Canis lupus familiaris: one gene and its partners. The protein of the gene in region 1 purifies or fractionates together with the protein of each later gene. This does not show direct contact. Links are inferred from orthologs where the notes say so. Each region holds a gene or a part of one and is shown in the gene's direction. Other genes may lie near its edges.

Evidence for each region.
Region 2: the proteins of KCNQ1 (region 1) and AKAP9 purify together in Homo sapiens (affinity purification with western blotting; 3 studies listed by BioGRID and IntAct, with this or other methods). This does not show direct contact. The link is inferred for Canis lupus familiaris from reciprocal best matches to the Homo sapiens genes KCNQ1 and AKAP9.
Region 3: the proteins of KCNQ1 (region 1) and NEDD4L purify together in Homo sapiens (affinity purification with western blotting, with the first as the bait; 3 studies listed by BioGRID). This does not show direct contact. The link is inferred for Canis lupus familiaris from reciprocal best matches to the Homo sapiens genes KCNQ1 and NEDD4L.

What each region holds. Positions count from the first base shown.
Region 1 is NC_049239.1:47,059,502-47,063,145, forward strand, and holds part of KCNQ1 (potassium voltage-gated channel subfamily KQT member 1), read left to right. Parts: intron 1-297; coding exon 298-442; intron 443-3,644. UniProt on the Homo sapiens protein: Pore-forming subunit of the voltage-gated potassium (Kv) channel involved in the regulation of cardiomyocyte excitability and important in normal development and functions of myocardium, inner ear, stomach and colon.
Region 2 is NC_049235.1:17,592,148-17,595,791, forward strand, and holds part of AKAP9 (A-kinase anchor protein 9), read left to right. Parts: intron 1-1,491; coding exon 1,492-1,705; intron 1,706-3,644. UniProt on the Homo sapiens protein: Scaffolding protein that assembles several protein kinases and phosphatases on the centrosome and Golgi apparatus. Required to maintain the integrity of the Golgi apparatus. Required for microtubule nucleation at the cis-side of the Golgi apparatus.
Region 3 is NC_049222.1:18,069,958-18,074,118, reverse strand, and holds the start of NEDD4L (E3 ubiquitin-protein ligase NEDD4-like), read left to right. Parts: upstream 1-1,337; 5' UTR 1,338-1,405; coding exon 1,406-1,453; intron 1,454-2,198; exon of another isoform or gene 2,199-2,477; intron 2,478-4,161. UniProt on the Homo sapiens protein: E3 ubiquitin-protein ligase that mediates the polyubiquitination of lysine and cysteine residues on target proteins and is thereby implicated in the regulation of various signaling pathways including autophagy, innate immunity or DNA repair.

The sequences.
Region 1 (3,644 bases):
GCCCCCCCCCCACATGCCGTCGCTCTGCGGCCCTTGTCAGCACGTGCCCTGGTGCACTCTTGGACGTTTACCTGTCCGCCCGCCCCTCAGCCTGAGCTCCCGGGCAGCGCCTGTGCTGAGCCCCCCACGGGGCCCCCGGCAGCATCACCACGCCACGGCCCTCCCTGTCTGCCTGCGACCGTGCCGGCACTTGGCCCCCGAGGTCTGGTTCCCTGGCAGGTGCCCAGCGGGGACCGCCAGGGGGTTCTGGGGCCGGCGGATGCCTGGGAACCGCCAGCTTATTATTCATCATCTTAGGTAAAGAGAAAGAAGTTCAAACAAGACAAGGACAACGGGGTGAGCCCCGGAGAGAAGATGCTCACGGTCCCCCACATCACGTGCGAACCCGTCTCGGAGGAGCGGAGGCCAGACCACTTCTCCGTGGACAACTGTGACAGCTCTGGTGAGACACCCTCGCCCGGGGTGGTGCTGCGGGGACAGGGACAGGCGCTCGGCTCCCCTGACCTAGCGTCTGCCCGGCAACGTCCTGCCCTCCCCACACCCCCAGCTCAAAGGCAGGTACTTCTGAGGAGGTGGGACCCCACCCTGGAGGGACCCTCTGTCCTGCTCTGTCCCACACTCTGTGCTGCCGGGTGCCCGGCCTGCCTAGGTCATGCCATGTGGCTGGCAGCAAGGAGGTGGCCCATACATGTGACCCCCCCCATTCCTGGTGGCGCGGGGATGGGGCATCAGAGCCAACACTGTGCACCCACACTTGGCCCATTCCTCGGCACCATGTACCTTTGCTCTTCTGTCATCCTCTGCCCGGCACCCACCAGAACATGCCAGCTCTTCGGCAGTTGGAAGGGTAGTGTCACCATCTCGACTGTAGCAGAGGGACAGGCTCATATTGTTCCTGACCCTTTGTGCCTATGGGTGCCCACCCTGCCAAGTGCTCCATTCTCAGGCGGCTGACCCCCGATGTGCCCCCCACATTGATCGCAGCCCCCCTGGCAGAAAGCATTCCAGGCAGGGGCTGCAGCCGCTCCCTGCTCCTCGGAGCCGTCTGCGGACCGGGCCGGGGCGCCCACCCCACTGGGCATGGGGCCATCCTGGCCCCATCACACGCTGTTGGGATTCCGCTCTGGCTCAGATCTGGCCACTTCGCTGGTGAGTCCCCAGGACGCGCTCCCCGCCCGCCCCCCGGAGTGGGCACAAGGGACAATTGTGCCAACAAATGCCCACCCCCCCCAACTCCGGATTCAGGGGCAGGACCATTGTCGCCATGCAGATGGGGGCTCTCTGTAAATGCTAATGGGCAGGTCGGCCGTGGGTAGAAGCATCTCTGGCTGTTTGCTGAATGCGGAGCGCTCCATTCAGACTGTTTGCTGTTATTAAGTACCCGGGGATGCCTGCGGAATGTTAACGAGGCACGAGAGCAGGAAAGTCAGGCGCCCTTTGTGGAATGCTTTTGCACGGAGGAGTTTTGCTTTCCCGCCGACGCGATAAGTCAGCCCAGCCTGGAGCCGCGGCATTTCTCGTGCCTGAGCCGTTGGCCTGGCCCCCGGGGGCCCCGAGTGGCCCCCAGCCCGTGGGTGGCAGCGGGGACTCTCAAGAGCCCTGGTGGGGGAGGGAGCAGCGCCAGGAGGGCCTGCCGCTCGGCCCCCATGCGGCAGGACGCCAGCAGCTGTGCTGAGTTCCGCCCCCGGGCAGGACCCAGGCCTTGCACCTGAGCCTCGCCCGCGGGTGGCATCTGGGTGCGCCAGGGGGCATGTGAGGCAGGTGCCATCTCCATCCCAGCACTGGCCTGTAGCTGTCTCCCCAGCTCCGTGGTTTCTCTCCATGTCCCAAGCTCACCGTGTCTCTGGGCTTCTGTTCTGTGACACCCAGGGTCCGGGAAAGGGCTGCCCACCCACATTCACGGCCTGCAGAGCCTCGTCTGTGCCCCTGTGATTCCCAGGCGGGTTTCCTGTTTTCATGGAAAGGGCCCGCAGGAGGACCCTTTGTGGTGGCAGGCAGTGTGGACAGAGGGAGCCCTGCCCAGCAGGCTCCCATCCCTATGCAGGTTCCAGGCCCCCAGCTGCTCACATTGTCCTGGTCACTGGAGTCTGCTCTCAGGACCCCCCTGCATGCAGGGCCGGGTGGAGGCCCATGGGGTGGGGGTGGCAGGGGATCCTTGGCATCCAGGGAGGAAGATGGGCACCAGCAAGGGAGTGGAGCATGTGGACGTCTGGGGTATTGGTGCCAGGCTCAGCCTGGGTGGTCCCGAAGGCTTCTTGGAGGAGGAGGTGCCAGTGCTGAGTAGAGCTGGCTGGGGGGGTAAGCAGCAGGATGGAGATGGGGGACAACCATGCCTCTGTGCGGCTCCACGTGGTCTCCAGCCTAGGGATGCCACGTGTTCTCCTCGTGTGAGGTGGGTGCAAGCCTGCCCTCCTCGTGGAGAGAGAGGCCACGTGGGCGCCTGGCGTGCCGGTGCCGACGTGCCAGGAGCCTGCAGGTGTCAGCCAGCCTGGGCCCTGGAAGTCCACAGAGCAGGAGGAGCTGCAGTCAGCTTTGTGTTCTCTGAGCCTCAGCCAGGATGGTGAGGATGGGAGGCCGGCAGGACGAGCTGGTGGGACATGGTCCCTGTGGGGCGGGGGGTCAGAGGAGCCAAAGCCAGCAAGAGGGGCCTGCGGACCCTGGGCAGCCTGGGTGCGACCCTCCAGGGTAGGGCAGTGTGAGATGCTGGGGGCGCCGGGTACAGAGAGGCCTTCACTCCCACCACACACTCGTCAGAGGTGAGCAAGTCCTGGGAGCTGTGCTGGGGATGCACTGTCGCGGAGCCCGGGGCTGCGTGCGGTATGTTCACAGAAGAGCCTGGCGCTCGTGAGTCTAATTTGTGGGGTGCAGTCTGCAGGGGGCATTGTGCCCCTGGCCACACCTGCCAGGCCTCACCCTCCTCCCTCCCCTCAGTTGGCAGCTGTGCACATAGTGAGGGTCCTGCAGGGCTCCACCAGCTGCTGTCTTGGGGCTGGCACCCCAGATCCCACCCAGCACCCCGGATCCCACCCCACACCCTGTCTCCCACCCAGTGCCCCGGATCCCACCCTGCGCCCCTTCCCCATGTTAGCTGCTGTTGGCCTCTGTTTAGGTTTTGTCTTTTTAAACAATCCTCTGAGTTAGTCACTTGTATGTGGTTGAGATGTGCTTACATTTACCAACAGGTTTGCTAGGTTTCCACTTCAGAGCTTGAGTTTAACGTCCTTCTTCCTGAAGGGCCTTGAGTGGTTAGTGGTTCCTCCAGTGATGATCTATCGACAATCAACTCAGTTTTTATTTGTCTGAAATCTTTATATTTTGCCTTTGCTGTTGGGTGGTGGTCTGGTTGGGGAACAGTCGGATTGAGATACATATTCCCTGTGAACACTGGCAGGTGTGCTGCAGGGGCCAGCATACACATTCTGTCCGGCTCTCTGGCCACCCCGAGTGAGTGACCTGTCCCCTGGGGATCTCAGGTGCATCTCCTTGACTCTAGTGCTGGGTCGCATCACCACAGTGAAGCAGGGAGGCGTTAGCTCTGTCTGTCCCGCCATTGGTTGTGATTCCTGAACCTAAGGGTTCATGTCTTTTATCCAGTTTGGAAATTAGTACAAATGTGTCACAATGTACCACCTGCCCTCAGGGCT
Region 2 (3,644 bases), on another chromosome or scaffold:
TACCTTCTTGAAATTAACTTATAAAGAGAGTAAAGGGAGGCAAACCTGCCAACTGTCCCTTCCCAGTTGTCAATACTAAGACAAACCGCCTTATTGGTGGAGAGAGGAGTAAAATGTGTGTGTGGAGGGGACCTCACAGAAGAAATAGAGCAATGATTTATTCAGTAGTAACACCTCAGAGCAATCTAAATATGCTTAGAAATCATACTAACTCCCCCCCAAAATACTTTACTCTCGCAGCCAAGCTAATTGGCTAATAAACATGAAAAGATACTTTCAAACCTAAAAATTGATAAAATAATAAGATAGTATTTTATACCCATCAGACTGGCAGAATGAGTCCCACAATAAAGTATGGGGAGATGAATACTCACGTATGCTGTTAATATCAGTGTAAATTAGCATAGTTATATAAAAAATAATTTGATAAAATTTAATACATTTAATATACATTCCCTGTGACCCAGCAGCTACATTTCTAGGTGGTTCTCAGTATGGTCTTTGACTAGCAGTATCGGCAGCACTTCAAAACAGGGTAAAATTCAAAATTTGGGGCCCCACACCAGACCTCTTAAACCAGAAACCCTGGGGAAAGGATCCAGCAGTCGATTTTAATAAGCATTCCTGATATCTGCTAAAGTTTGAGATCCACGCTACTAGGGAAACACTAGTGTATTTGTATAGGGACCTATCTCTAAGAATTTAGTGCAGTATTTTTGACATATCAAAAAATTAGAAATAGTCCAGTTAAACTCCAAGAAGGAAGGTGACAAATTTTCCTGCATTTATAAGTACTATGCCACATTTTAATTAATTTGTATCTACATGGTTAGACCTAGAAGTATATTGAGTGAGAAGAACAATTTGCAAAATACAGTTTGGAACCATTATGTAAATTCTTAGAAACATGCAATATAATGTATTGTTTATAGGTATTGAAAGTGATAGTATAAGAAATGCAATGGACTTGTTGCAAATTTGTGATAATGAATGCCTCTGGGGAAGGAAGAATGGGAACATAGTGGATTAAATTTTGTTTTCTTTCTAAACCAAAAAGGTATGTAGAAAGGAAAGAAATGAGAATAAAAAGACAAAATAATTGTTATTTGTAAAAACAAAAATGAAGTAATTGTATTTGTTAATTTGGGGTATGAGTACATAAGCATTTGTTACATTATTCTTTGCATTTCTCTATATTTAAAATACTATTTTTAAACAAAAATTAAAGATGAGGCCATACTAAGCTATATGATACATCAAAGTTTACCATAAAGTTGAGATAATGACAATATTGTGCTAATTTCCTTGAAAAGATAGGTAGATGAATGTAACAAAATGAAGTGAGAAAAAAATTAGACTTATGTGAAGTTTCAAACTATAATTTCATGTATTTCCCTCTTGTAGTCAGTATATGTAAGAAATAGAAGTTATATTATTTAAAATTTTAAATCATTTAAAAATGTTCTAATGTGTACATACATTCGCTTTAAGAATGATTTAAGGCTACAGATGGAAGCTCAGCGTATATGCCTCTCTCTGGTTTATTCAACACATGTGGATCAGGTTCGTGAATATATGGAAAATGAAAAAGATAAAGCTCTTTGTAGTCTTAAGGAGGAACTTATTTCTGCCCAAGAGGAAAAGATAAAAGAACTTCAGGAAATACACCAGCAAGAGCTACAAAATATAAAAGCACAAGAAACAGGTAAATGGTTTCTAAAAAAAACCTATAAGTACTATGAAACAAGTATCACTTAGAGCCTACCTACCATTCCAGGTTTTGTCCTTGTCTTAAAATCCATTGAAGAAGGTAACTATATCCCCAGTCCTGGATTCATTTTTTTCATATAATCCTTGCACATTTTTTTTAAGTGCTTGAGAAATCTAAAATCACTGAATCATTTCCCCCCAGTAGTTAAAATCAAGTGGGAAAGCAATATAAAATAAACTTTTAGAGAGTCACCTGCATGGTTCATGGTTGAGTATCTGCCTTTGGCTCAGGCTGTGATCCCAGGGTCCTGGGATTGAGTCCGGCATCAGACTCCCTGGAAGAAGCCTGCTTCTCCCTCTGCCTATGTCTCTGCCTCTCTCTCTCTGTGTCTCTCATGAATAAAATAAAATATTTTTAAAAATAAACTCTTAGCATAGGACAGTTTCTGTAATAGAGAAAAGTCTTATACTTTCTGGAAGGATGAGTGGGATGAGGCAGCAGGTAGGAGGAGGGGAGTTGGAATTTTAGGGAAGGCTTCTGAGTTAAAGAAGTGTGAGAGATTGCCTCCATTTTGGAGAACTGAGAGTTCAAGCTATGTGAGAAAGTAGTGGGGGATAAAGCAGGAAAGATTGACAGGAGCTTGATCAGAAAAGGCTTTATATACTCTGAAGTATGTGTAAGCTTTATGCTACTGGTGATAAGACCTGTATAGAATAAATAGATCCTTAAAAAGGATTTTAAGTAGTGGGAGTAACCGTAAAATTTTTACTTTAAGATAACACTATGGGACGAGGTGGGGGAGGTGATTAGTGATGGGAAGACGAGTTAAGCAACTTTGGCAGTAATTCTGCTAACAATAATATTTATAACAGTAAAGTTTAAGAATTAAAGAGGTAGGCTATAGTCTGCAGCTAATATGAGGAGGATGGAGAGAAAAACTGAGAGTGATCCAAGTTTCTAGTTTGGGTAACTGGATTGAAGGTGACTAGTCACAAAAGAGGATGTGGAGCAAATCTGTGGGGAAAATAAATTCAGGTTGGAATATATGGAGTTAAAATTACCTATTGACTTCAAAAAAGACTTGTCTAGTAGGCAGTTAAAAATAGAAGTCTAAAACACAAGAGGGAGGTTTGGGCTCAAGATTAAGATTTGGAATCAAAAGATCATTTGAGTCCAGAGAAAAGAATGAAGTGTCCAAAGAGACTGCATAATGGGCCAAAGAACTAAGATGGCACTTTGGGAAGCAGGAACATGTAAAGACTTGAAATAGAAGGCTAGTTACAGTTAACTTTCATCTTTAATATTATTTAACCACTCAATTAGCTAGACTTCCTCTGTTCAAGGCATCTCTAGGCTTTCACCCTTGATGGATCTGCTTTTGAGAATGAGGTAGTTCATAAGTTTGTTCAGTTGCTCTGTTGAACAAGGTAGAATTTAAAGAGTGACTTAAATAAGAATATCATACTTTTCACTTCAGGAGTTCTTTGGGTTTGAATATAATAAGATTACATTAAGTGCGTGTTTTTTTTTTTTTTAATTGATATCCTCTTCAGATAGAATCTGTCCTGTGATTTTCAATTACAAGTTAATTGATGAGTCCACTAATGGTTGATGAAGTTAGTGAGTAATGACCAGAATTTTTTTAAAAAGATTTTATTTCTTTATTCATGAGAGAGAGAGAGAGGCAAAGACACAGGCAGAGGGAGAAGCAGACTCCCCATGGGGAGCTCAATGCAGGACTTGATCCTGGGACCCCTGAGCCAAAGGCAGATGCTCAACCATTAAGCCACCCAGGGGTCCTGACCAGCATTTTTCTTTTTTAAATGAGAGAGTACAGTAGAACAAATACTCTATACCAATAGAGTGTATAACATGTAGAAAGAGGAAATAATGATTTGTGAAATTCTTGTTCCAGTTTTCAATGGATATATAA
Region 3 (4,161 bases), on another chromosome or scaffold:
AAACCCACCATACAGACCCATACAGACGCAGGGCACAGGGTTTTAAGCCACAGCAGTGTCACCGGGAGGCCTAGGTGGGGGCGGTAAGGTGGGGGATGCCCATTTTCTTTCGAAAACGATCTAGCAGGGCCCACAAGCAGATATTTTAGCAAAGTAGCTGGAAACAGGCATAAGGACGCTCATGGATCACGTGAGTTCTCCTTTCTTCCTCGAAACATTCTAAAAGCGCCCTGTTCATTCCAAAGTAGACATTCTGAGTGAGGCTTCTTTTCAAAGGAAAAATCGCATATTGTGCTTATAAAAAGACAAAAATTCGCAACTGCCTTTACCAGCTAAATTTAAGGAAAGGCTTCCCGGAAAAAGTGGAGGGATGCATTTCTTTCGCTTATTTAAAAGTCGTCGGCGGCGTCCCTATGGATCTTGGGGGTGACCAGGAGGGGATGTGCTCCGGGAGGCACCGCGGCCGGGACGCGGGAGGAGCCCGCCCGGGTCTGCACGTGCGGGGGGCGGGGGCTCCCCGAGCTGCACGGTCTCCCGCGGGGGCGCCCGGGCGAGCGGAGCCGGCTTTGCTCAGGGGGGCGGGTGCGCGCCGGGGCGGCGCGGCCTCGGCCTCGGCCTGCGCCCCCGAGCCTGACCCAGGCAGTGGCGAGCGGCGGCCACACCGGGGCAGCCTCTCCCCCGCGGGCGGCCGGCCGAGGGGTCCGGAAGCATATGCCCGCCTCCCCCCCGGACCATCGCGGCGCGCTCGGGGCTCGGGGCGCAGGGAGCGCGAAGGGGGTGGCCCGGGGCGCCCCGGGCGCCCCGCCCCCGCCCCCAGCCCCCCACGCCCAGGCCGCCCCGGCCCCATTGCGCGCGCGGGGAGGGCCGGCTCGGGGCGCACCCCCGCTCCCGCCCCCGCCCCCGCCCCGCCAGCCCTCGAGCGCCGCCCCCGAGCCCCGCGGGTGGGGGGGGCCTGGGCCCCGAGCCCCGCCGCGCGGCCTCTGATTGGCTTGGGGGGCGCGTGCGCCCGCCCCGGCGAGCGGGGAGGGTCCCCCCGGGCGCCGGGCGGGGGCGGGGGCGGGGGCCGGGGCGGGGAGAGCGGGGGCCGCGGGGAGCCGGGCTCGGGCGCGCGGAGAGCCGGCTCGGAGAGCGCCGGGGAGGGCGGCCGGCGGGCTGGGCGCGCTCCCGGGGCCGCCTGCCTGCACCGCCCCGCGGCCTTCCGGGAGGAAGCGGCGCCCGCGGCGGCCGGGGCGGGCGCTCGGGGCGGGCGCTCGGGCTCCCTCACCTGCCGGCGCCCGGGTCCCCCCGCAGCCCGCCCGCGGGACGCGCCAGGCCGGGCGCCGAGCAGCGCAGGAGCGCAGGAGCGCAGGAGCCGCCGGCCCAGCCGCCCGGGAGCGCCCCGCAGCCCGCGGGGGGCGCCGGCTCCATGGCGACCGGGCTCGGGGAGCCGATCTACGGACTTTCGGAGGACGAGGTGAGCGGCGGCCGCCCGGGTCCCGGCGGGCGCGGGGTCTGCGGGCGGGGTGCGCGCCGCCCTGGGCCGCGGGGACGGAGACGCGTGCGCCCCTCGGCCGCGCTCCCGGGCTCCCGGGCAACTTCCCGCCGCTCGGCCCTGCGGCCCGGGAGCCCACGCCGCGCGTCGCGGCCGGGTGTCGGCGGGACCTCCCGGGGCCGAGCGGCGGGCGCCCCGGGGCTGCGTGCGCGCAGGGGCAGGGGCAGGGGCGGGGGCCGAGGCCGGCGCGCCCGGGGGTCCCGGGGGTCCCGGGGCGGGGGCGCGGCCAGGGGCGGCAGGTGCCGCCGGAAACTTGGAGGGAGCCCGCAGCCCTGCCATGTCTTCTTTTCTTTTCTTTTCTTTTCTTTTCTTTTCTTTTCTTTTCTTTTCTTTTCTTTTCTTTTCTTCCTTTTTTTCCTCGGCCCCCCCCCCCCCCGGCTTCCGAGCCCGGCACCCCCGGGGTAGGTGGAGAGACAAAAGCTCAATCGCTCCCCCTTATTAATAAAGCAGATGCGGGAAGCCACGCCCCCGAGGCTGTGGCTGCGCGGGGTGAGCTTTGTTCGCGGCCTCCGAGGTGTCCCCGCGGCCCCCGCCCCCCCGCCCGCCCGGAGGGGACCCCGCGCCCGCGCCCGCCTCGGCCCCGGAGGGCGGGGACAGGTAGGGGGGCCCGTCGGCGGGGCGCGGGCGCGGGGCTCCCGGGGGCGCTTTACGGCCCTCGGTGCATTACTCAGCGGGGAGGTATTTCCTCTCCTGGTCGTGCGTTTCATGAAAAGTTGATGCCTGGAAATTCGAGGGTTTCGGGCTTTCTCTTTCTTCCCCCTCCTTTCTTTTCCGAGGTCCCCTCTTTCTCGGGTGCTGGGGGTGGGGTTGCTGGAGAGGCTGTTATCCGGACCTGCCCCGTGATGGCTTCTCTCTCTGCAGCTTTCCTGCCCTGGTTGGGGGTGTGTGTGCGTGCGTGTGTGTGTGTGTGTGTGTGCTTTGCAAGTGTGTGATGGAATCGTGTGTGTGTGCTTTGTGACTAATGGAATTGTGCGTGTGTGCACTTTGCAAGTGTGTAATGGAATCGTGTGTCTGTGCTTTGTAAGTGTGTAATGGAATAGTTACCTGGGGGTGGAGAGAGTGTTTGGGGGTAGGACTTTTTTTTTTTTTTTTCTTTCTTTCTTTCTCTCTCGCCAGAGCTACCTAAAGCTTGCCTCGGTATGTATTTTATCAAAGAATGATCACAATGCAAATAATGTGTGATTTACGTTTTCGATTATTTTGCCCTGCTGTGCTCAGGGCGAGGTAATTTCCCCCTTTTTTGAAGGGGGGGGGCAGTTACCTGGGGATGGGTGGTGAAAAGGCTCCTTGTTGCTTTCACCCAGGGGTTTCTCCCGCTCCCCGGCTCCTCTACCCTTTTGAGGAGCTTTCCCTTTCATTCGGTACTTCTCCATTTAATTAGCAGCCCTAGATGGCAGGCAGTGAGCTTTTAGAAAGGTGCTGAGATACTGACATTCCTGAACAAAGGGCTTTTTGAGGTATGGTGGGGGGAAGACAGCTGCACTTCAGCTTTGGTCTCTTGTAAATTTTAAATTACATGATTCTTAGCGCACCAAAGAAAAATATATTAAGAGTGTTTGGAGAAATTCAACTTGATGAATGGATTCTCTGCGTGCCCCTGTTGTGTGTTCTTTGTTTACATTTATATCTAGTGTCACCATCTACCTAGGGCACATCCTGCCTCTTTAGTTAACTCAGATCTCCTTAACTGGTGTCCAGTGTGAAAGCGAAGGGTGGAATATAAACAGAATTGGTATGTGTGTGTATATACGTGTGTATGTGTATGACTGGGTTTACTCCTGCACGTCGCTGGACCGGTGTTTAGGGCTGGTGTGGGGAACAGCCCAAGGTGCTAAGGCCATTTTCTTGATTGAGTGATGGATATGTTGCTGGGACTATTAAGTTCCTTCCGCACGTTAGATTACAAAAGACAAGTGGCATCTGTTGTCTTTTTTCAGCTTCTACCAGTGGGGGGGGGGGGGGGGGGAATAAGGCAAGACTGTTTTTGATGACTTCACATTTCTATGGTGTTTGCTTTTTTTATGGGAGGTATCGCACCGTCGGGTTAGCCTTTGGAAAATCAGGGAATGCCTTCGTAGAATATTAACAAATTGTTGAATTTGCACAGCTTGTTTTGTCTCCCTGAATTAGTCTGTGTAAGAAAACAAATGAAAGATCTTAACAGGCTCTTAAAGCAGACTGGCTCATGAAACCAATGGCAGGGTTGTTTTTCCAAGGCGTGTTAAGTATGAGTGCACTTCAGTTCACACACTTGGTGTGCTGCCGAACATCACACGTGAAGATATGTTGATTGCTACATAAGAGCTATCTTACACATCTCTTAGCAAACTAGGTGTCCTTATACCTAGCACATTTCTTAAAAGTGAGTTTGTATTTTCATTGGAAGTTGATGGAAAGCGTTGCGTGTTTGGAGCGCACTTAGCTTTCTGTCCCATCTCAGAAAGATTTTTTAGCTCTAAGTACTACTGGTGATGAAGCATTGCAGGGGGATGCCAAGACAGGATCTTGCTCCCAGGTCTCTCCAGCTTGTAGAAAGAGAGGAATTAAATATGGGCTTTGCTTGTGTGAGTGCGTGTACTGTTTATTTTTTGTGTGTCTTGTTGAGGTTCCTCAGTGAGCTCAAGCTCCTA